2 linked regions of the Drosophila melanogaster genome follow. The protein of the gene in region 1 interacts with the protein of each later gene in a pairwise test. Each region holds a gene or a part of one and is shown in the gene's direction. Other genes may lie near its edges.

What was found.
Region 2: the proteins of CG32801 (region 1) and CG4770 interact in a two-hybrid assay, tested with the Drosophila melanogaster proteins (one large-scale study listed by BioGRID).

The regions. Positions count from the first base shown.
Region 1 is NC_004354.4:1,901,582-1,917,524, reverse strand, and holds CG32801 (uncharacterized protein), read left to right. Parts: upstream 1-14,347; 5' UTR 14,348-14,737; coding exon 14,738-14,903; exon of another isoform or gene 14,904-14,986; intron 14,987-15,033; exon of another isoform or gene 15,034-15,062; coding exon 15,063-15,373; 3' UTR 15,374-15,443; downstream 15,444-15,943. Other genes in the region: Rbcn-3B (Rabconnectin-3B), read right to left, coding at 2,191-6,768; mip130 (Myb-interacting protein 130), read right to left, coding at 1-548, 9,170-9,172; Edem1 (ER degradation enhancer, mannosidase alpha-like 1), read left to right, coding at 9,906-10,030, 10,091-11,219, 11,290-12,980, 13,244-13,313; Ldaf1 (lipid droplet assembly factor 1), read left to right, coding at 15,723-15,812, 15,911-15,943.
Region 2 is NT_033777.3:19,910,408-19,927,314, forward strand, and holds CG4770 (uncharacterized protein), read left to right. Parts: upstream 1-8,099; 5' UTR 8,100-8,124; coding exon 8,125-8,197; intron 8,198-8,252; coding exon 8,253-8,477; intron 8,478-8,541; coding exon 8,542-8,609; intron 8,610-8,671; coding exon 8,672-8,767; intron 8,768-8,827; coding exon 8,828-9,282; intron 9,283-9,344; coding exon 9,345-9,622; intron 9,623-9,676; coding exon 9,677-9,887; intron 9,888-10,043; coding exon 10,044-10,110; 3' UTR 10,111-10,177; downstream 10,178-16,907. Other genes in the region: RhoGAP92B (Rho GTPase activating protein at 92B), read left to right, coding at 486-1,452, 1,905-2,677; Xport-B (exit protein of rhodopsin and TRP B), read right to left, coding at 4,076-4,417; Xport-A (exit protein of rhodopsin and TRP A), read right to left, coding at 4,469-4,605, 4,674-4,887; CG4465 (uncharacterized protein), read right to left, coding at 5,583-6,583, 6,639-7,371; CG4462 (uncharacterized protein), read right to left, coding at 11,511-11,908, 11,966-12,109, 12,283-12,789, 12,859-13,531; CG4459 (uncharacterized protein), read right to left, coding at 16,029-16,579, 16,635-16,907.

The DNA.
Region 1 (15,943 bases):
ATCTTCTGGCTAGAGCCACCGCCGGCAGACTGCGGTGGTCTGCCAGGCGTCTTCTTGGGTGCCAAGCTCATGCGCAGCGGCTTGTCATCGTTGATGATGTTCTCGTCATAAAAGAGACGATTTCTCTTTCGTATCCGAGCAGGCATTCCACGGGCATTTAGGGTCGGGATTGGGGCCTTCTGGACTTTGGGCTTGGGCGGCGGTGCGCTGCCCACGCGTTGGAGTCCCAGCGTCGCTAGGCTGAAGGCCGGCGGCTCTACTTGCTCCTCCGGTGCGCTGTTCTCGTTGCTATCCGGCTCCTCGTCATCGTCCTCTTCGTCGGCGTGCTCCTCCTCCTCCTCCTCCTCCATCTCATCGTCCTCGTCGAGGTTGAGATCTTCGCGATTGATTTCCTCGTCGTGCTCCATCGGCCGGACGTCAATGGCCCCACCCCCCTCGCTGAGGGCGGACTGTGTACGAATTGCGGAGTCGGATACGGAAGCTCCTGCCTTCTTACCCCAGCCTTTTTGGTTTACTGCAACGGACATTCTCACTGGACGGCCGGTAAGCTGAAATTCAAGGAGCACAGTTTATCAGGTGAGAATCTGGGCGACTATAACCGTGTTATCTAGGCTCGACAACAGGGCTTCCCCACAATGCCAGATGCGCTCCAACGGAAGCGTTGCCCCCACCAATCGAAAGCACAGGGAGGCAAAATTTGCAGATGTTTCTTGACTTTATTTGTTGTATACTCCGTACATAATTGTTATAGTTGCTTCGTTCCTTTTGTTTGTGTAATACTTTGATTGAAGGATCTCGTATATAAGTATGCTCGTGTCCCCATATATATATGAATATATATCATTTGCAATTGAAATTAAGCACAATTCAATTAACTCTCTCACCCGTGTGTTTGCTGTGTTGTATTGGATACGTAAACGAACACATATTGCAAATTCAGTTGGGTATATATGTATGCATTATTATATCTATAGTTAGGATAAGTAGTTCTCCCGTACAGCTGCAGGCACTTCTGTCGCCCGGTTACCAGTTGACCAGGACGCTGGCTGGCTGGCTGGCCGGCTTCCCAGGCTCCAAATACCGCCATCTGTTCGATGCACAATTAACATTAACGCCGCAAATGAACTGTGTGTGTGTGTTTTGTGGCATGCATTTTGTGAACAGGATGCCCAAACAACTTCACAGGACAATATGACTTTTTACACAGGCTTAAGCATAAATATAACATCGAAAGAATCAGATATATGGGAGTTACAATGGTTATAATGTAGTTAAAAAAAAAACCCCTTCGCTCACTAGTTGTTTAATCCTCGTTCGAGGAAACTCTGGTTGCTTGGCCTTCGCTTCATTACTTGCTCAATACATTTGTTTAGGTTTATTTTAGGTATATATATATAACAATACATTAGGCATAACAAATATCAATAATAATAATAATAATAATAGTAGCATACAATAGTAATAATAATAGTTGAGTAATAATAATAACAGCTTTTCATTCTTTGTTTTTTTTTTTCGTTTTTCATTTCCTTTGCTTTTCTCGTGTAGTTGTGTTTGCTTGCATATCTGGTTAATTGTTGTTTAATTTGTTAATATTTGGATTTGGATTTAGTTATTAGTTTTTCCGCATTGGAAATTAACGACAAACAGAAACAGAAACAGAAACAGAAATACGTGTTCTAAGAGTATGGGTAAAAGTTAGGCACTAAAAATTAAAAAGAACGCAGAGGGGCGAATAAGAGACATATTAAAATCGTGTAATACATTAAAATACATACAGATACGGATTAGATACAGATACAGATACAGATATATAGGGTAAGTATATAAATAAATAACAAAATGTGTTGTGAATTTTCGCTTGAACTAACTTCGCTTAGCTTCCCGTTTGCCCTAGCTATGCTTTCATTTTCGTTTTGTCTTAATTTTGCTAAGCTTTTTTTCGTTTCCATTACCTTAACTACTCACGAAACGCCATACATTACCGCACTTTTATTTTCGAATAATTATTGTTTTGTCGCTTCTGCTCCTCCAGCTCCCCGCAGCTCTTCCAGCTCCTCCTACTCCACCGCCGAGTCGTCCTCCTTGTTCTGCTCCTCCGAAGCGCTGCTCTGAAGTCCGCACTGATTGCCTAATAACATGCTATACATCCCGCAAGATTCACTAGTCCATTATCATTGCTCCTTCACCTTAGACATTGAATCGCGTCTCGGAGCCGTCGGCCAGCATGAGGGTCACCGTGCGATTGTTGATCCACACAAGCTTGGCCAGGCGCATCGGATTCAGGCGCGACACATCCGGAATGGGTGCCGTAGAGTAGCCCTTCGTACAGCGCGTCTGCGACTGGCCCAGTCCGAACATCCCCGTTGAGGTCTGCCAGAAGGAGAGGCGGTTCTCTGCGCAAGAGTACGAGACCAGGTACTTGCCATCCGGCGAGAAGGCCAGCGAGGTGATCGGATGCGTGTGGGCCGGGATCATCTGGCACTTGTTCTGGCGCAGCTCGTAAATGGCCAGGTTGCCACTGTTGGCGCCCACGGCGATGCGGCGTGTTTGGGCGCAGTGCGAGATCTGGTTAAACTTGCAGATGGCAGGACACAGCTCCGCCAGGCCGCGGTTCTTCAGCTCGTTGCCGTCCACGCAGTGCAGGGCAATGTCCATAACTTCCACCAGGAGGCCGGCGATCTCCGACTGCATTTTGTCGATTAGCATCTCAACGCACTGCAGAATCTCGCCCTTGGCCTTGTGCAGAACGGACTGGGTGAGCGGCGTGTTGATGGACTGCGCGTTCTGCTGCATCGTATTGTACCTGGCTACCTCGCGCGCCATCGTAGTGATGAACGCCGCCGGCCGAGCGGTGGCTATCAAGCGCAGAGCATGCCTGGCGGTTCGGCAGGCATCCGCTTGCGGGGTTAGTGGAAGTTTGTAGTTCAGATTTGGCACTGCTTTGCCCTCGCACGATATCTCCAGCAAACCAAGAAGCACCTTGGACACATCCAGGTACGGCTCCCAAACGGTGAATCCACGACCCAACAGATCGATGGCTGCCCGGCGCAGTGGCGTGTATTGCGGCAGCTTGGGAGATGGTGGCGCGTACAGCAAGTGAGCCAGGGCCATTGAAGTAAGACGGGCTAGATTGTTGGCTATGCCGAAGCCCTCCACGACACTAGATTTTCGACGTTCCCCGCCAGCAACTCCACTGGTTAGATTTGCTCCCGTGGCCATGCTAATACTTCCACGGTGATTCGGTGACTCCTGGGATATATCCTGGCCAAATTCTGCTCCTATTACACCCAGTAGGATAACTGCCGTAGTTTGTTTGCGCTTCAGCTCCGACAAGCTGGATGGTTTGCGTATAATCTCCTCCTCTTCCTCTTCGTAGTCTTCATCTTGGTGGGCATCTCCCCCAGGAACGCTGCCACCTGGCCCGCTACCACTACCAGCACCACCGCCTCCGGATACTCCGACGCCCACCCCTCCATTGCCGCCCGATCCCGAGCCAGCTCCTCCGCTTGCCGGCTGACTTATCAAGGCCAACTGCTGTTGGGCTCCCACTATGGGCTCGGTGTGCGTGTAGAGTGGCAGATATTGTGCCCAGCTCTCGACTAGCTGCTTGCGACCCTTCTTGCCCATCCGGGTAAGCTCGCCCAAAAGGATCTGCTGAGCCGCCTCCCTGATCTCTATGCAGTGATGCTGCCAGCGCTTGACCATCATTTCCACCTGCGGACGCTTGAATTTCTTCGGCTCCAGGGCCTCAATTTTGTCGGGCAACAGGAAGCAATGGTGGGTAGCAAGCAGGCTCCAGGCGTGCTTGATTTGAGAGATGTGGTGGGCCATCAGCTCCTCGCGCTCCTCCTCGTTGCTCAATGTGGAGTCCGTGCGCTGGGCCAAGCGCTGCAGCTTCTTGTGCTTCTCGCTGTCCGGCAGAAAGGAGGCCGCACTCATCGACAGCAGCGTATTGGACATGGCCACCAGCGCAAGAATATGGTTGGTGGTCAACGTAGTGCTGAGCTCCCAATGCAGACGGGATGTGAAAACAGCCGTGAGATGCTCCAAGCGCTGCAGCTCCTCTGGCAGCGGGCGCTTCTTGGAACTGGAGGGAAGCTGGATACCGGGTGGTATGGCATAGTTGTTCTGCCATGTGGGCAGCAGCAGCGACATATAGCCGGCCTTGGAAAGCACTCCGTATGAGATGGGCACAATGGGTCTAAGCAGGCCCAAGCGCGTCTCGCACATCTTGTCTAGATGTGGATCTAGGCCCCAAGAATGGAGCAGCGAAAGAAGTAGCTGGGCTACCTCCATAACATGCGTAACCTCCATCTTGGAAGCGATTTTGCTCTTCAGGTCCTGCTGCTCCTCGTGCGGCTCTACTGCCTTTTGCAGGCTCTCCACCTTGGCCTGTACTTTCTTCTCGACAATCTCAGTTTTCTCCTTGAACTTCTGCACCAGCCCGTGTTTGTCTTTGTCCTTCAGGATCTTCTCCACATCTACGGCCTTGTTCTTCACCTTGTTGAAGAAGTCACCGATCTTCTTGCTAGCATCCAAATGCATCGATTTGCCATCTTTGGGATTCTGCAGGTGGACACCAAGTGATTCCAAGGTAGCTGGTGTCATCTGTGCGTATTCCTCGCTATGCAATTCGAAGATCAGTCCCTCGATGTCAAAGAAAAGTATGTGGCTCTCCGCGTCCTTAGGATTAGTACGAAGACCCTGGATCACTAAAGGATTGCTGCGGTGTTTCATCAGAAAGTCGAAGTTTCCTTGGTTATGACCCTGAAGTTGCTGGAGTTGCGTAATCCCGCGCTGGGTAGCATGACGGATTGCATTCATGTTGCGCGACTTCAGGCCACGGAAGAAGTGCACTGCCGGATTGGCCATACCCATCTCGCTGGCAGATGCACCATTGGAACCACCGCCGCCGCCCGAGCCGCCATCCTCCGCCTGTTCATCGCAAGCGGAAAGGACTTCCTCTGCCAGCATCCCGTGAAGCACTCGATCGAGGTGACCCGTTTCCATTTGCCACACATACACGCTGCCATCGGAACAGCCTACGATTAGAAAGTCGTCCAGGGGACGCCATTTAATGGTAACCACAGGGAATAGATGTCTGCTTGCCAGGGTCACACACTTGCGCTCCTGAAGGGACACTAGCGTAACGGAATGGTCCGAGGCCACCGAACATATGCATTTCAGGATTCTTGGACTACAGCTCTCTGGCGGCACCAGCAGTTGTGTGATCTCACCCGCATGAACGCAAAACCTATGCAGTAAGCTTCCGCTGTACAGATCCCACAGACACACGGCGAAATCGATGCCGCCGGAAAGTAGATGCGACTTCTCATATCTCGAGTGAATCATCGAGGGGCAGAGCAGGCAATTGACCCTTCCACGATGACCGTAGAGGATCTGATGCGAGGGCCAATCGCTGAAGTTTTGCTTGATGCCCACCAGCAGCTGCATCATCACTGTCTGGGTGGCTGGCACTATGACTATGCTGCCATCCTCGCGTCCGATCACCAGGCGACTCTGCTGTGGCAGATAGATGCTCGAGGTGAGCTTCACCGGCGATTCTGTGATGCGGGAGAGCTGATCCAGGATGCCCACTGGTGGTGGATCCATTATGGACCACGCCTCGACCAACGAAGTGCACACGTGCGGCTTGAGGGGTCGCGGCGGCATCTGTTTGGCCTGCAGTATGCTAATATTGTCTAACGGCACCTCCGGCACATTCCAGACAGAGATGTATCCCTCGGAGTCTCCGCGCAGTAGATTGTGCTGGCCACCGGCGCCCTGAAGCAACTTCATGGCTGGGGGGCACGACAGCACCTTATCACCGGCGTGTTGCAACACGTAGTAGAGGTAAGGTGCATCCCTGACCACACTCTTCGAGTGGAACTCCTTGTTGTCGGGAATGCAGTTTGCGGGCAGCTTGTACAAGTAGCCCTTTCCCTCATCTGTCCATAGCATTACCCGGTCGGAGGTGATGAAGTCGCCGCCCTGCCAACGTTCCCTTGCGGGAGCAATTACGGAGCAGAGTACAGTGAAGTCGCCGGCATCGTAGATCTGCCAGTATTTGGTACAAACTAAGAGCACTGTGCGCTGGTTCTGGGCGCAGCAATTCATGGTGATGGCATTCAGGCAGCGGATCTCCTTGGATTCGTTCTCGTAAATGGGCTCCGCGTGTTTGTTCTCGTTACCCGTCAGAGTCCAGACCTTCACGGTTCCGGTGGTGGTGATGGCCAACACTACGTCATCCTTGCGACGCATGGGGCGCAGTACGTGAATAGCGGATATCCAATCCGGTTTGACCTTTGAGCTGAGCACGTAGATCACCTCTAGGCTGAACGGATCCATGACCATGATTTCAGCATAGTAGCCAATGCAAAAGAGGCGCACATCCTCGCTGTTGGCGGTGTGGTAGCTCTGAATTTGGGTGTGCACCTGTGGAAGCTTGACCGCCTCCATGCACTTGCCGTCCGTAAGATCCCAGGTGCACATCTCTCCGTTCTCAGACGAGCTGACCAGGAAGTTGTTCTCCGGCAGAAGCGAGGCACGCACTAAGCACAAAACGGGCGCCGAATGGCCCACCAAGAGGCACCGCGGCGACATCTTCAGGGTGGTGGGCTCCACTTGCCAAAGGCAGATCTGTCCATCGTAGCAGCCGGTGACCAGGGTAAACTGATCGTCCGAGAGGAACACGCTAGAGATGCAGTGCGTGGGCGCGGTGGGACCCCACAGCACCACGGGTACCACCAGATTGGTACTCACCATGGTGGTGCGCTTTACCCAATCTGTGCGGTGGCTCTCCTTCTTCTCCTCCTCCGCCGGCTTCCTTCTGCTCCCTGCTCGTGTCGCTGGTAATCGTTGCTTTGCTGCGACTGCGGGCTCTGCAAGAATAGTTATTGAGTAAACATTTGCTCACTTCCACCTAGTGGATGCGAATTATTTATGGTGGCCCCTGTGTGTGTATGAACTCCAGTTGTGGTCGGCTTTGAGTGCGTGGATGGTGCAGTGAAAGCTGCTAGTCAGTGACTCACCCAAGGTCCTTCGAATTCTGTGATTTCTCATCATCATTTTATTCAACCTGCTTTCCTAGCAGCTAATAGTGCTCTACAACCCACAGCTGTACGATGTAAATTGAAAACTGAATTTATATGGCGTTCTTAATGGAAAAGATGAATGGCAAAAGGGGTAATGTTGCCTAACGTTTTATAAACAAGCTCAGTTTCTCATTTCCTGTTGAATGTTTAAACAGACTTCGGGAATAAGCGAAATCGAACTAAGCAAAGTTTACATTTACAGCTTATGCAATTTGTAAACAATATAAGAACAATTAAAGGAACAAAGTGCAGCCACATTGTCGAGACTTTTCATATGCTTAACTGACGATTTTTGGGCCACTTACAGGAGAAGCATAACAAATTGGGTTGTAAATTCAAAAGTATTTATAGAGATCCATCTTAAATCTTTACCTAGAGTATGTGATAAGATAAGAACTTCCTATTTTTATGGATAGATTATTTGGTATAGCTACAGTCTTGGGTCTTGCGAGCTGGTTCTCTGGTCTGATAGTGATTTCTGTGTGTTATAGTTGTATCAATCAGGAATATGACTTTATCGTGTTAGAGAGTTCTTCACAGGGCTTTCCCCTCCTAGCTTGCAGGTGAATTTGTCAGTCGGAGTGACCTGCAAAGCTCTTCAGATAAGACCGCATTACAGGGGACACTCGTTCCAGCACACGCCACCTTATCGGCACATGTGTCCAACTTGGCCAGCCTCCACTGTACTCCACTCCACCTCGGATTGTCCAAAGATAAACAAGGGTTATACAATACATATGTGCGGCAAAAGCAGAGACTCAATCCGCGGATATATATCGGGTTTCGTGCGGAGCTGGGTATATGGGAGGGCGCCTGATGTCGCCAATTGAAAGATCAATTAATTGGCCGACTATTTGGCATCGCAATTTGAGCGGATTTTGCTTCTGCTATCGCACACAAACACACACACCCTCACACCTGGACACGCACACAGGGACAAGCCATAATAATTGTAGATAACTGGGCATTTATCTAACATTTTTCAGCAGTTTTCCGTATTGGGCTGGCTGCCGCGCGTGATTCCTCCGCTATGGATTCCGATTCCGATGCCAATTCCAATTCCAATTCCGAATCCGAGTTCGATTCCGAGTCAGCCTGCTCTCGATATGGAGAACTTAATGATGGTCCGCTACTGGTGGTGACGCTGCTTATTGATCCTGGTCGACGGACATCGCGGTGGCGGAGCAGCGGACTTCAATGTCGATTTCGATTCGATTTGATTCTAATTTATGGACACGGGACGGGCGAAACGCACACCACCCCCCGAGCACACCAACACACCAACACCTTTCCGCTGTACAGATTGCTTACAACACACACACGTTGCGTTGCTGTTGCTACTTTGTTATTGCTTTTGCTCGCCACTTTTGCGAACTGCTCATATTTGTTGCACACACTTTCCGCTGGAACATGCACTCCACGGGATCAAAACACTGCACTGTACTTTCGATTTACTTAGCTATTTCCTTTTTTTTTACACGAGTGTGAAAAAAAAGCAACGAAAATCGACCGTGGAGTAAAATTTTTCGATAGATTTGCGTGAGCGGATAGGGTTGCAACCGCAGCTCCGGACGCTCTTCTATCGATGCCATGCGAGGGGCGACAGCCCTGACCAAAAAATTTAATATTTTTCTTTAATTGTTTATAAATATGCAAACAACTGGGTGGAAACACGATTTCCAGATCCCAAATGGCACACGCTTATATCTACGGTCAACGGGATGGTTTCAATGTGGTTTCTGGTCAGCCAGAGGCAATCCCGCATGTATAGACCCACAATGTTGTTACTTTTCGCCCAACGGACAATTAAGCATACGCGATTGCATTTAAACGATCGCCTTACGCGGAGTACAAAAGGCACACGGGCCGTGATGCAGTTACTCCGCGAGGTTATAGTCGACCCTCTTTCTGAGTTTTTTTTACGCGGAGAATGATTCAAAACCGAAACACATCGCTGCCCATCGCCAGAACTGCAATTCGCAGTCGGAAGCGTAACAAAGGCTGCGGATTTCTTGGTCAGCTCATCCGGAGGATGTCCGGGTGTGAAACGGGTGCAGAGGGCAGTTACTTACCATAGGGTACAGTTGCTTCTATTGGAGGCGGTCGTTTCGCTGAATATTTTGAATTTAAATCACTTTTTACCCGTACGAACACACACTTTTGAATGGCCACAAAAAAAACTGGTATGTGCTGCCAACTCGACGCGAATAAAAGTATAAAGGAACGTGTGCCGCGCAAAGCAGTGACAAACAATCGGTATATTTGTCATCACAAACTTTTTGAATTCTTAAAGAAATTGCCATTTAATTTTTCCAACCCGACTTTAATATTGCCGCGCTGATTTTACGGCTATTCTGAGCTGTTGTATTCCTTTAACAAGCAATGACCACCATGCAAATTCGATCTGACCACCCTTTCGATAGTTATTCGATCAGCAACAGCTGATTGCACCCTACGGAATGACATATCCTATTGCTAGGGATTTTGTTGGGTAAAATTAACGTACTTCAGAATTGGCGGAGAATACAGTGTTTGCTAGCCTATAGTGTTTGGTTGTTACCTTAAAAAAGCTCTTTGGCTTGTGTTCTTTCCCCCGTTTGCTACTCTAAGCGCTCTATAAAAAAACACTCACCGAACGGAATTAGTAGGGCATTCGGCGGTCGATGCCACCGCCGAATCAGCCCTTGTTGTGATTTTGCGTCAACGTAGCCGCATTTGACTTCCACACATCCCACATCCACGCTGGCTATGGAACACTGACCATGCCCATAATTGAATTAGCGGCCCTGATTGATTGACTGTCCCACGATGCAGCAAAAACCCCGAAACAACGGCTATCCGGGCACCCTCATCTGCGCGGTCCTCCTCGTCCTGCTGTCCACCGGTGTCAGCGGCCAGAAGCAGTATTCCAAGGCAAGAAAGTTGGAACTGAGGTGGGTCATTGCTAGGGCTAAACTCGGACATACTAATCCTAACCGGCAATGAATCTGCAGGGAGGATGTGCGGCGCATGTTCCAGCACGCCTACGATGGTTACCTGCGCCACGCCTCCAACTACGATGAACTGCGTCCGCTGACCTGCGATGGCCACGACACCTGGGGCAGCTACTCCTTGACACTGATCGACGCTCTGGACACGCTGGCCACCATGGGCAACTTCACGGAATTCCGCCGCGCGGCAAGACTGCTCGAGGAGAAGATGGATTTTGACAGGGACATCAACGTGTCCGTGTTCGAGACAAACATCCGCATCGTGGGCGGGCTGCTGTCCGCGCATCTGCTCTCCAAGCGTGCTGGCGTAGAGCTAGAGCCAGGATGGCCCTGCAAGGGACCTCTGCTGCGACTGGCGGAGGATGTGGCCCGACGATTATTGCCAGCCTTCGTCACGAACACGGGTATGCCTTATGGCACGGTGAACCTGCGCTATGGCGTGCCCAAGGGCGAGACCTCTATAACCTGTACGGCGGGCGTGGGGACATTCCTCATCGAATTTGGTACCCTTAGCCGGTTGACCGGGAAAACCATCTACGAGGATGTTGCTATGAAGGCGGTACATGCTCTATGGGCATATCGCTCGCCCATTGGACTTTTTGGCAATCACATCGACGTGCAGAGCGGTCGTTGGACCGCCCTCGACTCTGGTATCGGAGCAGGAGTGGATTCCCTTTTTGAATACCTAGTTAAGGCATCTGTCCTGCTCAATCGCCCAGAACTCTTGGAGTTATTCCATGAGGCTCGCGCGGCCATTGATAAGTACATGCGGAAGGAGGACTGGTACGTGTGGGTAGGCATGAACAAAGGCCGCGTCACCCTTCCCGTCTTTCAGTCCCTGGAGGCGTTTTGGCCCGGCATCCTGAGCATTATTGGCGACACGGAGCCGGCCTTGCGCACCATATCACGGTACATTGGGGTCTGGAAGAAGTACGGCTTTCTGCCAGAGTTTTATAACATTGCTGCTGGAGAGGCATCGCCGAATCGGGAGGTGTACCCCCTGCGACCGGAGCTAATCGAGTCAGCTATGTATCTCTATCGAGCCACAGGAAACGAGTATCTTCTGGAGTTTGGTGAGCACATGCTGGAGACCTTGGAGTTCAGTGCCAAAACCAAATGCGGATATGCAACGGTGAGAAGTTCTGTGAACAAGCTTTTTAAGAACTTAAAATTAATTAATATATACTTGCATTATTTTCCAGATTCGCAATGTTGTCACCCACGAAAAGGAGAATCGCATGGAGTCATTCTTCCTGGCGGAAACAAGCAAGTACCTTTATCTGCTGTTTGACGAGGAAAACTTCCTGCACAACGATGGGTCCGGAGGCGAGCTGCTGTCAACCGAGGATGATGTATGCGTGGTACAGGCCGGTGCGTACATCTTCAACACAGAGGCTCATCCCATGGACATGTCAGCCCTCCACTGTTGCCACGCCCACAACGAGGACATCTACACCTCTCTGGATCTACAGCGGTTTAGTCCACGGGCGATATTAGAGAGGAGCAAAAAGCGGCAGGTAGCTGTTCAGGAACAGTGGGTGCCGCAGTGTCACCCAGAGAACAACGAGTTCTTTAATAAAGAGGATGAGAGTGTGCAGGCGCAGGACTCTGAAAAAGAGCAGGAACGCGAGCAATCCGGCACAAGCACTACCATGGCCGTAGATATTGAGGTGTTCGACGAATTTCAACAGCCCGCCGGCGATCTGTTAGTAAGCAACTTCGAGCAGATACGCGAGGAGCGGGAGCTAAACGAGAGCCTGCACAGAAACGTGGTGGCACGAAACCAGTTGACAGTCAGCGATTTGGATGAATTCTTTGCTCAGCGACGGGAGAGTTTCGCAAGCGCCTCCGAGGCTCTTAACTATGTAAAGACCTTCATGGGCAACTATACCATGGATGTAGCCTTTATACGGGGCTTGCAACTGTACGATACTAATATGAGTAGTGTATTGGGCACAGGCGCCCAGAAAGAGTATGAGTCTCGAATGAGGACCCTTTGGCAGCTGTACGAACTGCAGCAGCAATATGTGGCCAACATCCGAGTGATTCAAGGATTAGGTTTGCTAACCTTTCCGGCGGACGGTGACCGGATACCTAGCCATTTGACAGAGGTGTTGGACAGCCTGGATAAGTCGGCTCACTTGGAGCATATGGATCTACAAGATCTCGAAACAAGAGTGTCCAATACCTCCTCGCCCCAGTTGGCTCATATAAGAGAAGTTATTCTAAAAGCACGTAATGCCTATGCCATAGCCATGGTCAATACTTCGGCCATGCAGGAATTTGCTATCCGAATCTACCTCAGTGGCACTTCGGAGGCCGGTGTTCGCATTCACCCACTTTTGGAAGACGGAGAACTAAGTGAGGAAGCACGTAAAAGGCCATTAAAGTTGGCGGAGGAGCGAGCCCTCTTCAGCTACGCCCGTCGAATAGTGGACTTTCGGAAACGAATGGCGGAGACAGTTGATCGATTGCAGACGCTCATGCAGGACATTCCGCCACCCAAAAGGAAAGAGGCCACTACCGACTCTCAGGCCGCAGATGCGTCCACAGTCTACACTCAAACCAAAGCCCAGATGGCGGCGCCTGCACAGCAGCCGGAGCCGAGCCAGGAAGAGAAGCAGTCGACACAAATTCAAAAAGGAAAGCTTGCCGAAAACGGCTCCGGATTGGGTGAAGAGGAGTCCGGCTGCGTGTGGTCGCAGTTGGTGCAGACCATCCTTCGGAAGACCACGGTGCAGCGGGTCAAATTTGACGAGGCCGTGCTCCAGGAAAATACGCGCAAGGCACTGGAGAAGTACGCCCGCAAGGAGTTACCCCACCATCTGTTCGCCTGCCACCGGCCGGAGTACATTGAGGGATTCGCCTATCGGGACTTTTATCCGGAAGCGCTGTAAGCTCGCAATCACCTCACCGACCAACACGACTGATCTGTAGATAGATATGTATGTATTTAGTTACTTAGGGGTATTCGCTCTGGTGACTGGGCAACCACATAGATAAGTCTCACGCAGATTTTATTCCCAACTGCTCTATTTCCGATGGCGATTGAAAAGTGGGCTGTTGGGCCCTTTTATTAACTTATTTTTGCAAAATTAAAAGACGTTTTTTCTGGTAACGATTTCGAACGATCATGGTATATTTTTTTTTTTTTAGCAAAGTTCGGCGTCGATGCGCGCATGACAATGAGCGACTCAATTGCAGAGCGAAAAGGACAGAGCGCTAAGCCAAAGCGGCAAGCGCGAAAGTACAAGATGAAGACAGCGCGAGAGGAGGGGAACTTAGATAACGAAAGAGAACCATCACCTCTAACGGTTTTCTGATATGTTGCCGATCATGATATTTGCAGTGCTGTACTTTGTACTTTTCTATCGTTTAAATTGTAAGCTATGTACATATATGTACGTACATATGTATGCAATTACCAAACCATTTCCAGGAATTTCAACTTCTTGTACAATCATGTTTACCAGCGATTTTTTAAAGCTCAGTTAAGATATGATAATAGAACTTCCAAAAATATGTATAGCTAAAGAACCTTAAGTGGTCCTACTTGTGCCGACAATTAATTTAATTAGCATATGAACCCGCAACTCTTGAGGTTTTCTCAATACCTTACCAAGGCTTAAACAAATTTATATCTGTAATAATAATGGTTCGAGTGCTTGTGTGCGTGTAAACTATTTGCGATGACTGTTGTTGGCTGTATTGTAATTAAATTGATTTATTTCCGTATTTATGTATTCAATTAGATTCGATTAGGCTAAAATTTACGACGAATCGAGAGAGTTGCACAACCCGAAGCAAATGTTGAGAATCGCGGCGGCCAAGTGCCGGATGTGGTGGCCACCTGCTCCTCTGCCTCTAGATAATTTTGTGGCTGCGATTGTTTGGACACGCAAAGGCAATCGCTCGAATGGGTTTATTTTCGGATATTGCTGTTTACTTCAGGGATTTGGGTTTTGGGCTTGTACTAAATTACGCCAACGACATGAATGGAGCCAGCCCTTGGGTGCTGGAAGCAGTGATGCGAAGGTATAGTAAGCTCCTATTGTTTACAATGTAGTAGTTAGCCTTAAAATAGGCGAGATAAGTTCCAGTTCCAACCAATCGATGACTTTCGCCTTCGGTACACTTGGTTATACTTCAACCAATTCCAATCTTGAATATAACCAGTGATCCGTCTCATCACTGGCTGACGTCCTTTTACTTTCTCTTGAGCCAATCGCATACATCGCGGACAGCCCACAGCACCTGCTGGGGAAATTCGCCCGACAGGCGCCTCTGACGTTGGTGAAACTGTGATTGTGGGTCACACCACTGCCATCGACACCCCCGGGAGTTGGGAGCAGCAACTCCTTGGGCCCCGTGGGCTGCGTCGTGGGGATGCGTGTACAGTATTGGTAACGTTGCCTGCCATGCAGCAACAATAGGAAAACTTTAATGAGTACAAGTTGCTGCCAAAACGAAAAGACAGCCAGGCAGGCAGTGAGCGGCAGGCAAGGGGATTGTGGGGGGTAGGTGTCCTTGATGCAGCGCAGTCCGCAGCCAGTCAAACGAACCGAGCACGCCACGCGTTGCGGACGGATTGCCTGGATTTCCGTAAACAGAGCTCTCCTTCGGGGCTCAAAATAGTAGACGTGCAGGAGCATGAAACCGGGACTCGAAACCACCGACGAGGTCGAGGAGAATGGCGACGCACTGGATCATCGCGAGGGGGATCCCCGACCGCTGCCCTACGACTTCGAAAAGGAGCTGATCCATAGATCTAACCGGCACATCCGACTTTACGAAACCTTTGTTCCAGTGAGCCAAGGTATGCTAGAGATTTCTGGTTAGCTCGGTATATCATGTTTGAGGACAAGCTTGTTGCATCGTAGCGCTCCTGTAAAAATAAAACTTTAATCATTGAAAGTTTTACAATAGTTTACAAAATTGTTCACTACTGCTAATAATATCTTCTCCTGCCTTCCAGTTCATCCGCTAACACGGAAGTTCTACGCCCAGTATGAGCAACGCCAGCCGACGGATACCTTGAGGTACCTACGGCACACTTGGCCTGAGAAGCATGTGGAGCGTCAGAGGCAGCTCGGAAAAGCTGTTCCGCTCCTGGAGTCGCAGGTGTACGGCTGGTTGCCGCTCAAAAGTGGAGAGCGAGCCGCCGATCTGAACTTTCTGCATGCCAAGAAGGTGCGCTGCGGCATGACTGTTCACGGGGAGCGCTTGGTGGCGGAGAGGATTACGGCGCGTCCTCCGTTTAACGGACTCAGATTCCTGCTTCACTAATCCTACGGCGAAGAAATGTCGCACGCTGACCGCCATTATAAATTTATAATTTTTTTTTTAACATAGTGTTAATTTTTTTTTTGTAAACAAATTAATTATGATTAAAAAGCAAAACTAAGCCACGCTAGATCATTATTAAGAAACGCATCTTGTCTAATTCAAATTTAGTAAAAAAAAAGGTGGCAGCTCTCCCTCGATGATTTAGTTTCAGGGCTACGACGTCGATTATTTTTTGTTTATTTATATTGTTTTCATTTACTGTTGCTTCAAGCAGGCGAATGAACCTGGAACAGACTCCTCCTGTAATGCGCACAGCAACCGCCTGAGATTCTCGCAGTAGCCACGCAACATGGTGGGTACGGGTGTGAGTGAAGTGGGTGTTCCGGCATCTTCGGAAGAATCCGTAGATTTCGGCTGGAATCGGCATCGCAAGTCAAAGGTCGCGTTTCACGGACTCAGTGGCAGCCGGCATCTAATCACTTGGGTTCTTTGACTCACATAATATTCATAACTGATTTGATTTGATCGACTCTGCAGGCTCACTCGAACAAGGCTCGCAAAGCAGCCAAA
Region 2 (16,907 bases), on another chromosome or scaffold:
AGTCTTGCTATATGCTTTTGTGATTAAAGTAGGAAATACATTGTTTGTTTTTTGTTGTTGTTATTGATAAGGCCCTTTCTCTTTCACTCTTGATGAAAGTATTTTACGAAGCTCAATTGCGTTTCTTATCAGCCTTTGTAGAGCAGGAGAATTGCATGATCTAGTCACCGCAGTCAGTGGCCCCAATGCAGCGGCGCATGTGTGTTCTGTATCCCGAATGAGACCTATTGTCGGAAGTGGGTGAACTCAAAACAAAGTCCGTGATGAGAGCGGTAACAGCTGGCTGGGCTGCGGTAGAGGTCGATCTATTTTTAAATGAGCCGCAAAACTTTCCTCTACAGGCATCTTCCATGAGTCATTCGGAAAACTATTTTGAGATAAGATACTTTGGCGCTTGAACTTTGCTCCTTTCAAAATGTGACGATGTCCGTGACATTGGTTCTTATCTGACATGGGCTAATCGGTGTTTTGCTTTATTCTCGCAGGCGGCAATCCGTCTGGAGGAACCAGCGGCCAAGGTTAACCACATCAAGAGCCAGCAGGAGGAGTGCGAGCTGAAGCTGGAAAAGGAGCGGGATGCCTGGGCGGCCCAGATGCTGGAGCTGATTGCCAAAGAGGACGAGATCGTTAGCTGCATCCGCGACTATGTACTCAACCAAAGAAACTATCACGAGCGCGCCCTGCAGCACGTAAACGCCTCGCTGGCCCGCATCCAGGACACTATCCAGGGCACAGAGAAGTCCCGCTTTGGCACCTCGCTCAAGGAGCATCTGACATCCACAAACCGCGAGATCTCCTACATAGTGGAGCTGTGCTGCTGCTGTCTGTTAGAGCACGGCCTGGAGGAAGAGGGTCTGCTGCGAGTGGGCTGCGCGAGCACGAAACTGCGGCGTATGAAGCACGCCCTGGAGGCGCAGCATGTAAAGACACCGCTTCCGCTGGACTACCAGGATCCACATGTCATTGGTTCCATACTCAAGCTGTACTTGCGTGAGCTGCCCGAGCCGCTGCTCACTTACAACCTGTACAAGGACTTCATCCGGATCGCTGAGAGGCACAGCGAGGCCGAGCGCAAGACAGAGATTAAGGCCATTCTGACCAAGCTGCCAAAGGAGAACTACGCGAACCTGCGCTACCTCACCCGCTTCCTGTCCATCGTGCAGCAGCGCTCGGCGCTCAACAAGATGAGCTCGCAGAACCTGGCCATCGTGATGTCACCGAACATGCTGTGGCCACGCATCGACAAGAGCAGCAACGCTCCGGCCGACTACATTGGTCAGGTGAACAGCTCCTCGGCAGCCAACATCATTGTTGAGCTGCTAATCAGCCAGTGGGACTACTTTTTCATCGGCGAAGTCGAGTTCTACTTGACCCTGCAGAAGCAAAAGCTCTTCGTCGAGGGCAAGAGCAAATCTAACTCCTCGAACGAAAACCTGGATAGAAACGACAGTGGTAAGCATACTACACAGTCGGGCATCTATGAAACGGGCCACTATACAGTATTCGACCTATGACGACTTTTTCCTCTTATATTTTTAACAATTCCACGCTTAGTATTTTCCTGTGCCTTATATTTTTTATATTTTTCTAAATGTTTCTTTACGTACCTAGAAGCTGTTAAAGTGCAATATTAGTGGCAATATTTTGTTTAATAAAATGGATTGGAACCAAATTTAGTATTGTACTTTTGGAAGTTCATGGTGTCATTGGAATAACTATTTTACATTTTATTTAACTTATACCAAATCTTTTGACTCGTTTGAAATTTTAAAGTTCTTGTACATTGGCTTATTCGATTTTAAATTAAATGCTTTTAAAAAAAAAGTCTAATAAAAGATATATCGTTTTATAACGTATTAATAATAAAGCTCATATCATATTTAACGATCCATTTCCATTTATAGAAGTCATGGAGAGTCCACGCTATGGTACATTGCGCAGACAAAAAGCTAATGCACCTTCGCCTCCTACCACCAATGGAAATGGGATAATTATGACCACATCACAGACTTCGCACCGACCACATGCAAAGGAGCTGTTCCCGCAGCAGACGCCGGAAAAGCAGGAAAAGCCCGCCAAGCCGCCGCTGCCGAATTTGCCGCAGTTTCAGTCGCCAGCTGCTAGTCAGCCGACGCAGACGCAGCTGGAACCACTGCCTCCGCCGCCTGTAACGCCAGCCAAGCCTGTTCCGATGACGCGGACACAGTTCTTCGGGCTGGACAACCTGCCCTCTCCAACGGCCGATCGCAAGAGCACCGACAGCATTGGCAGCTTCAAGCTGAAGCCAGATGTGCCGCAGAAGCCTCTGCTGCCCAAGCGACCCACCGTGCTGGGCGTGGGAGTGCCTAAGGCAGATGGAAAGAGCGATGATGAGGGCGGTACCACGCCCACTCAGGCAACAATTGATAATGGCAATGGCAGTGTGCGATTTAAAACGGAGCATTTTCTGGACAAGCTGCGTCAGGAGAACGGCGAGACAAACGGAACGCGAGAGGTGTCGTCGACGACAAAGGAAAACAATCACAACCATGATCCGCCTGCTACGGCTGCAGATCAAAATCAGCAGCAAGCTCAGCCCCAAGTCACGACACCCATCTCTCCGAACTCATTTCAAACGCCCAAGAGGCCAACGGTGCCAGCGCCGCCACCGCCCACAAATTGGAAGTCCTCGGACTAGAGGGGAATGAGTAGAGAGGACGCGCAATGGAAACGTGGTCAGAGTCATTAGGTGTTACTGTTTACTCGTTAAGACTTGAACGCACAGTAATATATATATATATTTCGAAATGATCCTTGCGGTAAGGAGACTTTGTGCATTATAGAGAGAAAAGCCTCTGCGTATTATGCATTTGTATTTTTGCCTTGTTCATAAGCAATCTAATTTGTACGTGTTTAGCCATATATAACAATATCACGCGATATCCATAACGTATATGTATGCATATATAGTCTTTAGTAGGCCACCATAAATCAATTGTCGAAATTCGATTTGTTAGCCCAAGCCAGCTCTCAATTGTTAATCCTTGTTTGAAAGGTTGTGATACTTCAGAAAGGTTTTGTGTTTCCTTAATTTTTTGCATTGCTCTTGAGTACGTTTTGTTAACTTCTCCAACGAAAGACATTGTGATTTCCTTTTATTAAAAGTTATGATTTCGATTAAATTACAGAAATTACAGAAAATTCCAATGTATTATTCAACTCACGAAGTACATTTTCATTGAATTATCATTTCGCTGCGCGATGTACTTTACTTTGTATCTTTGCTTTATTAATTTGTAATGCAATTATTATTATTTTTATTTTATAATAAAATTATGTATGATAAACTGTTGTGTATATAAAATATACATAAAAAGATAAATATGATTTTGCCCGAGAGGCATTTGTCTTTGTATTTTATTGTTTGTGAAGTTAATTTTACGAAATTGGCTAAAGAGTGGGTGCGCGTAGTGTATGTTAGAATGTGGATCTCTTATGAAATTGGTAATACCTAGCTCTTAATCACATACTGACCTCCTTAAATCAAATGATACTTAAGATATCTTCAGCTTTGTGGTATCTTCAAAACTCTACACTTTGTGCCACAAAACGAATACCTGAACACAAGCGATTTGTAGACAGCACTTATTATAAACCAAATGGCATAACTTCCAAGTCAAATACCTAACTACTTTATATCTCCATATAACTATTTTTCACGAGATGCTTCAGATGCAAACTAGCAATGACCAGATCTGGATTGAATAGAGCTTACTTACAGACCAAATCGATATATATTCCATGATATTTATAGAGATTAGTATGTTTATAAAGTTTTGTGAATAGGTTAGTAAGTGAGCTAATGCTGGAGACACACGAATATATTCTGCAAACATTTAAATAAAAAAGCTGAAAACCACAAGTTGGATAAATATTTCTATTGTTGTTCATAATGGTGGGATACAATGTAGAATTCGAATGTAGAGAGCAAGACAATTAAGTATGCAATACGGTTAGTAAGATATTTTATTCTACGAAACTCATATAAAACACACTAAGTATAATTGATACCATATATAATTAATTATAGGATGGGCTATCTTATGTTGCTCGTAACTAGGCAAACATCGAATGGTGGTAGAGTGCCGGTAATCTCCAAGAATCGTCGAAGGATGTGGCAATAGGTGTTTCCCATGGGCGGAGATTCAGTTCCTTCCGCCGGAATTCTAGCCACCTCGTCCGGAGTGTCCAGCTCCCTAACATAATCCATAAAGTTGTCCACATTGATGGGTGTCTCTGCCCTCGTCTTTGCTGGTTCCGTCTGCAACTTTCGCTGGAACTCACTTCTGTAGTAGTCGTTGATCATGGACATCATCCCCTTGGAATACCAGTAGATGATGCCAATCAAGAATAGGCCCTGCATGAATGGACCGACCATATTGTATGCTTCCACTTGATTTACTTATTTGTTCGATAGATCCTTTGGTTTCTACTGCTGATGCTCCTCGCGGAAGCTTTCAAGCCATTGATTAACCATGTAGAATTGCTCCTTGATGTGCGGCCAGGCCATGGTGACAATTAGCATTATGGTATTGGCGAAGACAAAGAGTTTCATCATTTCAAATGCTATTGGAAAGGGGTAATATTTATTAGTTAAATGAACTATATATTTTTAAGGAGCGAAAATTACAGACCCTCCGGAGTGCGAAGATAGTCGCCGAAGCCGGAATTTAGATCCTTGTCATCCTTCTCGTCCACCTTCTGCTCATGCTTATGCTTATCCTTCTCGTCTCGGCTCTTGCCCTTACCACCACCCTCGACTTTATCCTTGCCAGAGTGTCCTTTACCGTGCTTGTTCCTGCCGTATCCCGTGGATGAATTGGCAAAGGCCGATTTCTTCGGCTTCATTGCATCCAGATAGCAGCAGTTGGTCGGTCAGCCTGCACAGCACTGCATTTGATTGGAGTTGGTCCTGGAAGTGCTCTCCGCCTGGTGCTTCCTCGCCAACTGCTGCTCCGCAAATGACACAAACTTTGTGGTGCCAATTGGCGTGGCGCCGCTTCTGGCAATTTTATGGTTTCCATTTTATTGATTTGCGATTTCTGCTTGTCGCTCTGGCTGGGTGGGAATGGTGGGACAGGTGACCAAATAGAAATATGTTGTTAGTGGAGCAATGCGCTTGGATATTTAGCCGGGCATGTGTACTTATTATACCAGTCACACGAAATGTGTGTCAACTTGGTGGATGAAGGTGGTCGCCGGTAGGGTTGGTGTTTGTGGGTTTACATTGGTCCCAAATGGCTCTGGTTCCTGAAAGCTTATTTAAATATCATGCAAACCAGTTTTAATTTATTTAATGCCTTATTCTGCCAAATAGTTTATAATAGTTTTGCATTGATCTAATGTAAGCTTTACATTTTAAACAAACTACGTGTAGATGCCGAACTTTTGATTTATTCCCAAAAGTATGCAACCCAATATACATATTCGATTCGCGATAAGCGAATGTTTAATGAGCTAAATTCGAATACTGTTCGCGAATACTTGACACACACTACAACTAACTTATCAAATACGCCCAGACATATATTAAGTATACGTTATTACGTGAACGCAATAAGTTGCTGTCCCTTGTTTACCACAGCTCCGACCGGTGGCTGCTCCTTGTCCCGCGTGACCAGGCAACATGTGCCAAGGCCGCCCAGGATGACCAGCAGACAGAAGGCGGACAGGGAGAGGGCGGGGCTCACCTGCCTGAGCAGCGTGAGAAAAGAGGCGGAGAGCTGCCACACCCGCGCCCACGTGACGGCGGAGAAGGAGAGGCAACTACGCTGCTCCATTGGCACCAGTTCGCCCAGGCAGGCCAAAATCATGGACTGGGCGCAGGCTACGGCCGCCTGGGGAAGTGATGCCATTAGCAAGCCCAGCGTCAGTCCATACACCTCGGGCATATCCTCCTCGGCCAGGAACCAACAGATGCTACCGATGCAACCGACCACGATGGCAAATCCCCCCGCCCACTGCCACTTGCGTTCACTCAGGTTGAAGGTCAGGTGTAGGGCCAGGAAGCAGCCAAGCATCTCGGCCAGGCCCATGGCCAGTGTGTTGGACACCAGGTGCTCCCTGCCAAAGGACCGCACATGGAGCAGCAGCCCAGTGTTGACCACCATGAAGGTGGCAAGTGCCATGTGCACGGCCACCAAGTGGAAAGTACTCCTACGCTGGCCCATCCACAAGTGCATCCAATGCACGGCGGGCATTGGCTCCAGCATCCTTTCTCTCAGCTCCTCCAACTGCTGGGGTAACTCCTTGGACACTTTGTGCATTCTACCATTGGTACGGGCTGCTTCCAGCAGGATACCCACCGTTCGCTCGATGGCCAGTTGAGCTTCCTTGGTGTGTTGCAGCTGCCAGCGCGGTGAGTCCGGAGTCCAGGGTAGCAGAAAGACAATCACCAGCAAGGAAAGAGTTACGCCCAAGTATATGTGCTGCCAGCTGGGAGCATTGGAGGCCAAGCCAGGGAGCAGAATCAAGCCCAGAGCCCAGAAGCAGTCGTAAAGTATGAGGGTTCCTACGCGATATTTTCCCGCTGTTATGTCACCAACTGAAAAGTAGGTTATTTAATATTAAAGTATTCTTAAATATTCAATTTTACTTACATATATACTGCCCCGAGGTGATCATAAAACAGCACGAAACAGCAGCCAGGCATCGGAGTCCACAGTGCAGACTGAAGTCTTTGACAAGACCCATCAGTAGGCTGCACATGAGCAGGCACCAGATGCCAGTTCTATAAATCTGTCGGGGACTCAGGACCCGCATCAACTTGGTGGCCGCCACGCCACCGATTAGGAGGCCAAAGAGGTGCCAGTACTGAGACCAGGCCACAAAGAAGTCGCACAGACACACCAAATCGAACTCCATGGTCAGGGAGTGGAAACCCGTGGTGTAGAGGAACTTTCGACACTGGCGCATGGCGTAGGCGGACTCTCCGTAGTTAACCATCACATAGCAGTGGTCCAGCGAGACGGTGGAGTTGACATCCGGCCCGAAAGCCGTCGTATCACACTTGTACTCCTCCTCGGGGTACAGATCCGGCGCTGTGAACAGGATGCAGGCCATGAACCAGGCGGCTGGAATCTTGCAGAGAAATAGGATGAGCAGGGAGCGCAGTTGCCAGGGCCCAAAGTTCCCCATGATGTGTGTGATGACATCGTCATCGTTGTCATCTGCTAGATTATTTGCTTTCGGGTGTGGAGTTTGAGGAGATACCTCGTTGGCCTTCGGATCGGTGCAGGTGAAGCTATGCGCCATGTGGCCCAAGTCCAAAGGAGCAGGTGAGTTTCGGCGTATATTGGGCATCCAGCCTCGATAAAGATTATCCTTCTTCATTCTTAGTTAGCTGCCAAATTTAGTTACCACGTCTTGGGAGTGCCGACCCTCCAGCATGACTGCGACTTCGCTTAGCACCTCACCTGGGCAGGTAAACTCGAGGGCTCCGGTTTGCGGTGCCTGCCTACGACGTCGTCGCTAATCAAATCATTCCAAATAAGCGGAGCAACGTTCCTAACCGATTGTGCAAACATTTTGGCCGACAAGTTGCGATCTATTTTCGCGGCGATCTTACGGATTTATGGGAGGATCTAGCCGGGGAATCCGATCGCGGTGGCGGGCAATTGACATGATTGAAGCTAATGAATTGGACAGGTAAACAACATCGGAATTCGAACTGATTGGAAAGCTTCGCAGCTGTGGATACATTTAATTTAATGGTATCGCCATATTTTATATAATAGATATAATACTTATCTACTCCGGAGTTTTCAAGTTCATGGCTTTTGAATTATTGAAAATGGCCTAGAACTCTTAGCCAATGGTATGGACTCCCACTTCATGACTTCTTCAATGATCATTAACGAAGGTCTAGTGTTGTCCACATCCCCATCGAAATATGATGTAATATGTTTGTGCTCAAATGTTACGTCTGAGTTGCTATTTTCGTTGGCCAATTGCATGTTCCACTTGCATTTTCACGAAAAACTTGTTTCGGGAGGACCAAGGCATTTCTTTTGCCAAGCCAGTTAGGCGTTGAAAGTGAGTAGCTCACCGGATCAGTAGCTATCGTGGCTTCAAAGTGGCCACACCATGGACAACGCCGAAGTGAGTACTGTGGAGCACCAGACGGATATTTACCAAGATGCTGTGGTCTTCATAACGGGTAATACAGACGCGATCTCCAAAAGAGACTGTTCAAAGATGGTTAACTTTAATAGGAGCAACTGGCTTTGTGGGCAAGTCGCTGCTGGAGAAGCTGCTCTGGAGTTTTCCGCAGATCAAGCGGATCTACATGCTCATCCGACCTAAGGGCGGAGTCACAGTAGAGGAACGATTTCGCGGATTCCTTCAGAATCCCATTTTCGAACGCATAAAATCGGAGCATCCAACGCAGCTGAAGAAAATCTTTCACTTCTCTGGCAACATTGAGGACGACAACTTAGGTATGGCTTTTCAGAGAAACTTTAAATGAAAACTCATGACTTCACCAGACTTTTCCACCAACAGGTTTAAATGAGTCCGACAGATCGGTGTTGTGTGCCGAGGTCAACATTATTTTCCACAGTGCAGCAACAGTGAGTCCGAGGGGGATTCCCCAAGATTTTTCACACTGATTGTTTGATTCATCAAATTCCAGGTACGATTCAATGAGTGTCTAAAAGTGTCGGCTCGCGTAAATTCACAGGCCACCTACAATCTTCTAGAGCTCTGCAGGCAGATGCCTTATCTAAGGGTAAGGAGCTCCAGTCCGTAGAGTTTATCTTTACTGCTAAGTAATGGGTAAAATCTCTAGAGTTTTCTGTACGTCTCGACGGCCTACTGCAATCCGGGTCGCAAGTATGTTGATGAGCAAGTGTACCCCACCATGCCGCCGGTAGATTGGCGACAGTTTCTTTCTGCCACCCAGAAAATACCCGACGACTATCTGAATCGCCTGGCCGATTATATAAAGGGTCCGCATGTCAACACCTACACCTTCACCAAATCCATTGCCGAGCAGATTGTTAATGCATACAAGGATGTGATTCCCATAGTGATAGTGAGGCCTTCGATAGTCACTGCTGCGTACAGGGAGCCCTATCCCGGATGGATTGACAATATCCAGGCCATCAGCGGTATTATGATGGAAATTGGCAAGGGCGGCATCAGCAGCATCCTAGGGAACAAGGATCTTATATGTGACATCATCCCAGTGGACTTTGTGGTCAATGCCATGATCATGATGGTCGGCAAGGCGAAATTGGGAAGGTAAGTGGATAATAAATACTCCTTATACTTATCATGTTAGTTCTCATGCTGATATTCCAAAGCTTGAGCATCTGTAACGCCACTTCCGGAGTGACCAATCCCATCACCTGGCAGCATCTTGGCGAGCTAACAATGAAGTGGTCTCGTATCTATCCCACCCGGCGGATGATTATGTTTCCCAACTTCAAGTATAGGTGCAGTGCTTTTAACCACGAGTTGGCTGTATGGGTTCTTCACTTTGTGCCCGCCTTGCTAATGGATCTGCAAACCCTGCTGTTGGCCCAAAAGAAGCGACTGGTGACACCAATTGCCAAGAAATTCCGACAGGCTTGCCTAGCAGGTATCTTTATGAAACATCTTTAGCAAATGCAATCGTTCATTGAACTGCCCACAGGTAGCTTTTTTTCGCTGAACGAGTGGATCTTCAAGAACAAGAGCCGTTTCTATTTCAAGGAAATGATTGAGAATGGTACATATCCCACTCTCTACTGGAATCTGGAGGAGATGGACTATGACGAGTATGTGCGGCGTCACATGATTGGGATCAACAAGTACCTGCACCGCGAGAAGTTCACCGTTGACTCAAACAAGTTTATGGTGACCAGGTGAGTCGTTCGTTTATTATTTCCGTCTTAGTATCCAGCTCAGAATAGGATTGTTGTTCAAATTTTCCTTTTATGGGGATAAGGAGAGTCCCGTTCCATATTGTAAAGCATCTTTGGACTCAAAAAAATTACATTAAAGTATTTAATTTCTTACAGGATTTATTGGTTCTGGATATTTCTGCATTTGATGTTCTACATGATGCTTGTCTATATTTCATTTTAGTCAAGTAGATTTTGAGTGTTTAGCGATAAGCAGGTAAATTAATAATGAGTGTAAAAGGAGTTGTTTTAAATATTTATTTATAATATAAGTTCCAGTCTCACTAGTTCTCTTTTATGCGCTTAGATTTTGAGTATAACTTTCTTTTTAATGGTCAAATGCCATCCATAAGAGCGGAATCACTATTTAAGATCTTGCCCATCTCATTGTATAAATCGTTCCCTGACTGGTGGCTTCTCCGACACCCGCTAACACAAAGTATACACCATAGGCAGTGTATAATCTGTTCTAGCGGGAGTCGGTGAAGGCACCTGTCAGGGAAACGATTTATACAATGAGGTGATCAAGGATTGTGTTCTCGTAATGGGGTCAAAGTTTCTCGCCATTGGTTAGCAATGAACTTCTTTGGTCACTCAGCAGCATACCGCCACCTTAAGGGAATCCATTTCATCATATGTTCCGTGATGATTCGAATTATGTATATTCTTGCTCATTGGGATGCTGCAGGATGCCGTCCATTCGCCTGGGGTTGTCGATGTCTTCCCATAGTTCTCATTGGTTCCAATATTCCTAAACTAAAATTTTTATAAGCTCGGGATCAAAATCATCAAGGAATTCTTACAAACTTGAATTACTACGTCTTGGAAAGGACCTCATTAATTCGAAGCTTACTCTTGTAATCTCGTAGTCCAGAAGATAGCCATCAAGGAATTCTTACAAATGTTGATCCACCAAATCGAAAAGGCAAAATAAAATTTCATCCACGTTTTAGCATTGTCACTGTCAATTTAGAGATGCATTGCCTTAAATGTCACTTGCCACCTATCGTATAGTACTATTTGTTAGTTAGTATTCCGGAAAAGCAAAACACGGCTATGGAACAGCCGAAGGATCTTGACAACGAAAAGAAGGAAAAGGAGAGCCTAGATTGGAGGGATACAATGAGTCAGATGGAAATAATGCGTCTCCTTAGTCTGCAATCGAATTCTGAGAAAACCGCGAGCCGGAAGAGATCTTTTAGTTTAGATCCAGAGAAGCGTGAAATTGACGGAATTTGAAAAATACAACATTAACAAAATTCTGAGCGATAAAAAATACTGAAAAACGTGTTGTTTCATATCATTGTTATCGGCTATTAAATAAAATAAAAGCAGAATATTTTCAGCGCTTTTTTGATTGTTACCAAGTGCTAGGACATTAGTTTAAGTGGGATAAGTTACAAGATATATATCATAAGTAAAATTTATTCAGTGGTTTCACCCACTAAACTCCACAAATATTCTTTAGTAAAACTGCAAGCATTTAAAATAACAATTCACTTATCCTAATCACAGAAGAATGTTTTTTCATTAGCTGACTAATACAAAGACTATTAATTGGCAAAAATAGGCTGTCGTCTTGGGCTACAATCGAGTATTGTTCACATCGGATTCGACGGTCCAAACTGGGGCGTTCAATGGAGACTGCTCCTTCGTGTTTCTCTGCTCCAAGTGTGGCACTACCGGGGACACACTTAATCTGGGCGTGAGGAGCAGGCTGGTGCAGATTCCGCCAAGAATACTAAATACACAATACGAAGTCAGCGACATGGCAGTGTCGATCTTCCGTAGGACATTGAAGAACGGCGCTGAGAGGAGCCACACTCGGGCCCAGGTGACCACGGAGAAGACGAAAAGCTGCTTCTTGTTCGCCGGCATCAGTTCGTTCATGCAGGCCAGGATCATCGATTGGGCACACGAAACAGCCGCCTTGGGAATGGTGGCGATGATCATCCAGAGGCTCACTTTTAGATCAGCATCCACTAAAGAATAACCATAGTCCATATATTGCATTCACGAAGTTATTAAAATTAACTTACTTGAGTCCGCATTGGTGAAGATCCAGCCCATGCATCCGAGGATTCCAGCTAATATATTAAAGACCCCAGCACATTGCCACTTCCACTTGTTGTGCTTGAGTGTAAAGTGCAGCGCCAGGAAGCAGCCAATGATTTCCGAAAATCCTGCAGGGAATAGAATGGTTTTTACATTATGAATAAAGAGTTTTTTGGATTTAAGTATTGATATATTGTACAACAAAGAGTTTGAAGGCCATTTTGTTTAGATCGATATTAGATCGATAGCAAGTTGCTAAAGTTCTCTTGATTTATGAAGATACCAAGAACGCCCAACTCACCCATGGCAATAGTGTTCGGTACCAGATAGTCCCTTCCAAATGATCTTATGTTGAGCAGCATCCCCATAAAGTTGATGACGAAAAAGGCCAATGCCAAGTGGGCAGCTACCATGTGGGTCTTGGCCCGCTTTCCCTTCCACAACTCCGTCCAAGGAGCTGGTGGGGGTTGGGCCTTCAAGCGCTCACTTAGTTGCTCCAGCTGCTGTCGGAAATCCGGAGGGATCTTGAACGAGCGATCATTGATCGCCGCTCCCTCACGCAAGATCTGTTCCACATTGTCAATGGAAAACCGATCCGCAGCGTGCCGGAGCAGCCAGCGAGGTGAATCCGGAGTCCAGTAGAGCAGCAAGATCAGCATGATAGTGGGGAATGTGATGCCCACATATATCAGGGACCAGCTGTTGAAGAACGAGGAGAGTCCTGGCAACAGAATCACACCAATGGACCAGAAAGTGTCGTATAGGATAATGGCACCAATGCGATGCATTCCCGCCGTGATATCGGCAACTGGCAGATTGGATTTCATTATAAATATTTATACTGAATAGGTATAAGTGTACTACCAAATCCACTTACATATGGCTTGACCAGCTGTGAACATGATCGCACAACAGACAGCGGAGAGACAACGGAAGGCGCAGTGCAGACTAAAATCCCTAGCATATCCAGTGACTACTCCACACAAAATCTGGGCTACAGCACCGACACAATAGGTGCTCCTCGGGCTGATGCCCAGCATCATCTTGGTGCCCATAACGCCGCCTACAAGAACTCCGAACAAATGCCAGTACTGAGTCCAGGCCACGAAGATGTCCCTCAAGCAGACCAGATTGAACTGCATGATCAGGGAGTCGAAACTGGATACGTAGTTGAACTGCTCGCACTCGGAGCTGGTGCCAGTGGACTCGTCCAGGACATAGCACTGGTTATCCGAAATACTAAAACTGGAGTTGCTGCTGCTAGTCAAATAACTGGTGTCGCAGGTGAACTCCGAGCCGGGATAAAGTTCCGGTCCGGTGAAGATGATGCAGGCCATGAACCAGGCGGCAGGGATTTTGCACAGGAAGATGATGAGAATGGTTCTCAGCTGCCAGATGCCAAAGTCGCCCACAACATCGGCGATGACATCGCTACCGGCTGGTGCTGGAGGTGGCGTCGCTATTCTCTTGTCCACGTCATTCTCCATCTCATTGGGGAGGATGTGGGGGGCAGTGGATTCTCCACCTCGGGCGGGCGATGGATTGACCATGGCTTCTATTTAGTGAAACATTCTGCAAACGAACATCCCATTTATTTATTTGCTTTATTTCTTTCATGCCAATACCCTTCCATCCCAATTGAAGTAAATTGAAAGCGGTTTACTGATGAAATCAGTCAAACAAGGCATTGAATATCACGAGAGATTGTTGAAATATCTGCGGTTACTTTTCACTTGACTGACTTTCATTATTGCATTGACAAGTAAATGTCATAAATAAACACCTGGGCGAAATTCATAAATTAAATATAATTTTAAACTTTCCTAAAACCCTATACTTGTTACACCATTGTGTCTACTAATAAGATCATTTTTCATTTCCAATAAATCTGTAATCTCGTTTAATTGTTCTCATTAATAAATTAGCTAAGCTCTTGATTAACTTCAACCAGTTCGAGGTTCTGGCTTGCTTTATTCTGTCACTGATATCATATCTCGAATCACGACTGACCGTAGTTTGGTCGATAAGGCAGAAGCAACAGATAATGATCATTTCATTCCGCGACTTTATCTGTTTGCTAGCCCTTATTTGTCGAGGGCAAATATGGCGAAAGATTTAGTTGTTAATTCGCGACAGATTCGCTTTGTTGGATCATCTGTATTGACAGACTCTTTATGCTTCAGTTTCACAGGTGCTAATTGGCGATTGTCTGGCTCACAATTGGTCCCACCTCCAGTCTGTCCACCTATTGGTAGTGCAAATATTTTAATTTCTAATATTCCAGGCAGTGCTAATTGCTGAAAACTGGTCGTGCCGGTGCTAGATATTCGAATTTCCTATTCTACAATACATTTGATATACAGCTGAGCATGTGGACAGTGGAGGTAGGTCTTTCTATCAGATCGACTTGTTTCGATTCGAGCCCAAATGCAAATTAATAATTGCTTATGGGGCAGGAAAACTGAGCCACTGGAGAGGCGTTACTCGTTTCAAATTAATGGAATGCTCGACTTTTGACAAGATTATGATTAAGTGCACTGTGCATTTGTTAGATTACGTGCACGGCGTATTTAATATTTAATGCAAAAAACTGCAACACGATAATGCACTCTTACGAGGTAATCAATAAATGCTAGTTATAAAATCAATATAGTAATATAGCATAGTAATGTTGGTTTAAGAGCTTTAAACCGATCTATAAACCGACCTTTATAAAGCACAATATCACTTTTTGGTTTATCAAGGGTTCGATCACGATGTTGAGTCCTCAAACAGCCAAATATTTCGGAATTCAATTTATTTCTCACAATGTCTCTTTGCTTTTTGTTCGTTTGATTTCATACAAATTAATTTAAATTAATTAAACGACAATAAAAAACTATACACGCCGCGTATCCCCGTACGTAAAAGGCAGCTTTCCGATTTGCACGTCTCAGCTCGATTTTTCTTATTGGATTCTTGGAGCACACGCGTCCCAATCGGCCGAGAATCAAATGGCAACTGACGCCAATGTCGCACTGGGCGCTATAGACAGGGAGTGAGCCGACTGGCTGTCCACTCGGAAACTCGAGGCGTTAATTTACTTAATGAATTTGCTCAAATAATAAAAAGTTATTGAACGGGTTCGTTTTTCGAGCATTTCTCTTTAGTTTCAATTGTTTTTTTTAGAGTTCATAAAGTATTTGACGCAGCCGGGATTTTAGTTAGCTTATTGAGACATTTTTTCCTTGTTTGCCTATTAAATATTTAATTTTATTGAATAGCTGACGACAGATCGATAGGGTGTCTTTCAATGCTCTTTATGTTATTAGTTTGAGCTTACCCCTATCGAGTGTGCATTATCTCAGGTGAGGAGGGTTTATGGCTTGGGAGCCATAACATTATTACTTTACGTTATCGCCGTTTGCCATTCGGGCTTGTACAAATTCTTCAACGGATTTCTATTTTAATCTTTATTGTCTGGGTCGCTTTTTTTAGCGCTCCTAGTGACACATCGATTGTGGTGCTCTTCATTAACCTACATTAATATCGAGCTATAGATTAATACTATACTCTTAATGTTATCTGTATTTCAACATAAAATCTTCCTTCCAGGATCTACATCACAATTTTATTATCATAAGTAAGTAAATCAGTTTCATTTGGACTAATTTGTTGCTCACCGCTTGCTAATTAAGACCTTTCTGCCGACTCTAAACTGGAAATAAAATAAACAATTAAATTAGCAATATATGACGTGAAATGATCAACTTTGCGTTTAACTTTAATTTTGTGGCGAAATTTGTTAAACATCTGGTCTTTGGATCATCTCGTATAATATGCTTAAAAGGGGGTGTGTTTACTATTACGAAAATTCTCTACACCGCTCACTCGCAATAATATTTTTAAAAGATATATAAAGCGGAAAAATAATACATAAATCAGAAGTATAATAGATAATATAACATTTATTTTAATAATCACCAAATAATTGAGTGTACACTTTATACAAATGACTTAATATCTTAAGATCGATCAAAGCCTACTTTCGGGCTACGCGAAAGCTGTTCAAATGGTTTCCGAGCTGTGTGCTCTGTGAGCTTCCGGACCACTCTGTTCCACTTCCATCTCGATCTCGCTGGAGGGATGGAAATTGATGTGCCATATATCGGCTATGCTAACTGCCATGTTTCGCTCAAAGTTGCTGAGAAGCTCATTGCTGTAGGCACTGCAATCGGAACTCACAGTGCTGCATCGGCGCAGGATGATGGCCGACTGGCGACGATAGGTGTTGGGCGTGGGCACCTGACTGATTTGGGGCTGCTCCGTGTTCCAGTAGTAGCGGTTCAGGCGGCGCAGGGCCAAGCCGTAAATCCAGCCCATGGTGGCCAGGATGGTGATGGGGACCAGGTGGTGGATGACAGTGAGACAGCTTAGAAAAGGGCAGAAAAGCAGGCACACGCGGCTAAATGAGATCACGGAAAGCATAAGGACCACCCGCTTCTCCTTGGACACAATCTCACTGGTACAGGTGGTTAGCACTGCAATCGAGGCGGAGTTGGCTATCTTTAATATAAGCCAAAACACCAGTTCCAGTCCCACGCGGCGTGAATTCCGTTCTGTAAGAATATCACATTTAGAAAGTAATTTTTTAATATACATAATTACCCTTACCAGTTTCGGGCAGCAACCAGATCAGATAGGTGCTGAGACCAGCTATAATCATCAGATTTCCTGCCCACCGCCAATGACGACGCGTGTACAGGATGAGGTAGAGGCCCACAAAAAGGCCCACCATCTCAGCAAATCCCATGGCCGCTGTGTTCACATGCACTTGCTGGGCGCCCAGGTTTCGAATCATCAGCAGAATTATGTTGTACAGAACCATAGCACCGCCCCAGATCAAGTGGATGTAAACGAGCTGGCTGCGCTTCGTCTCGCCATCCC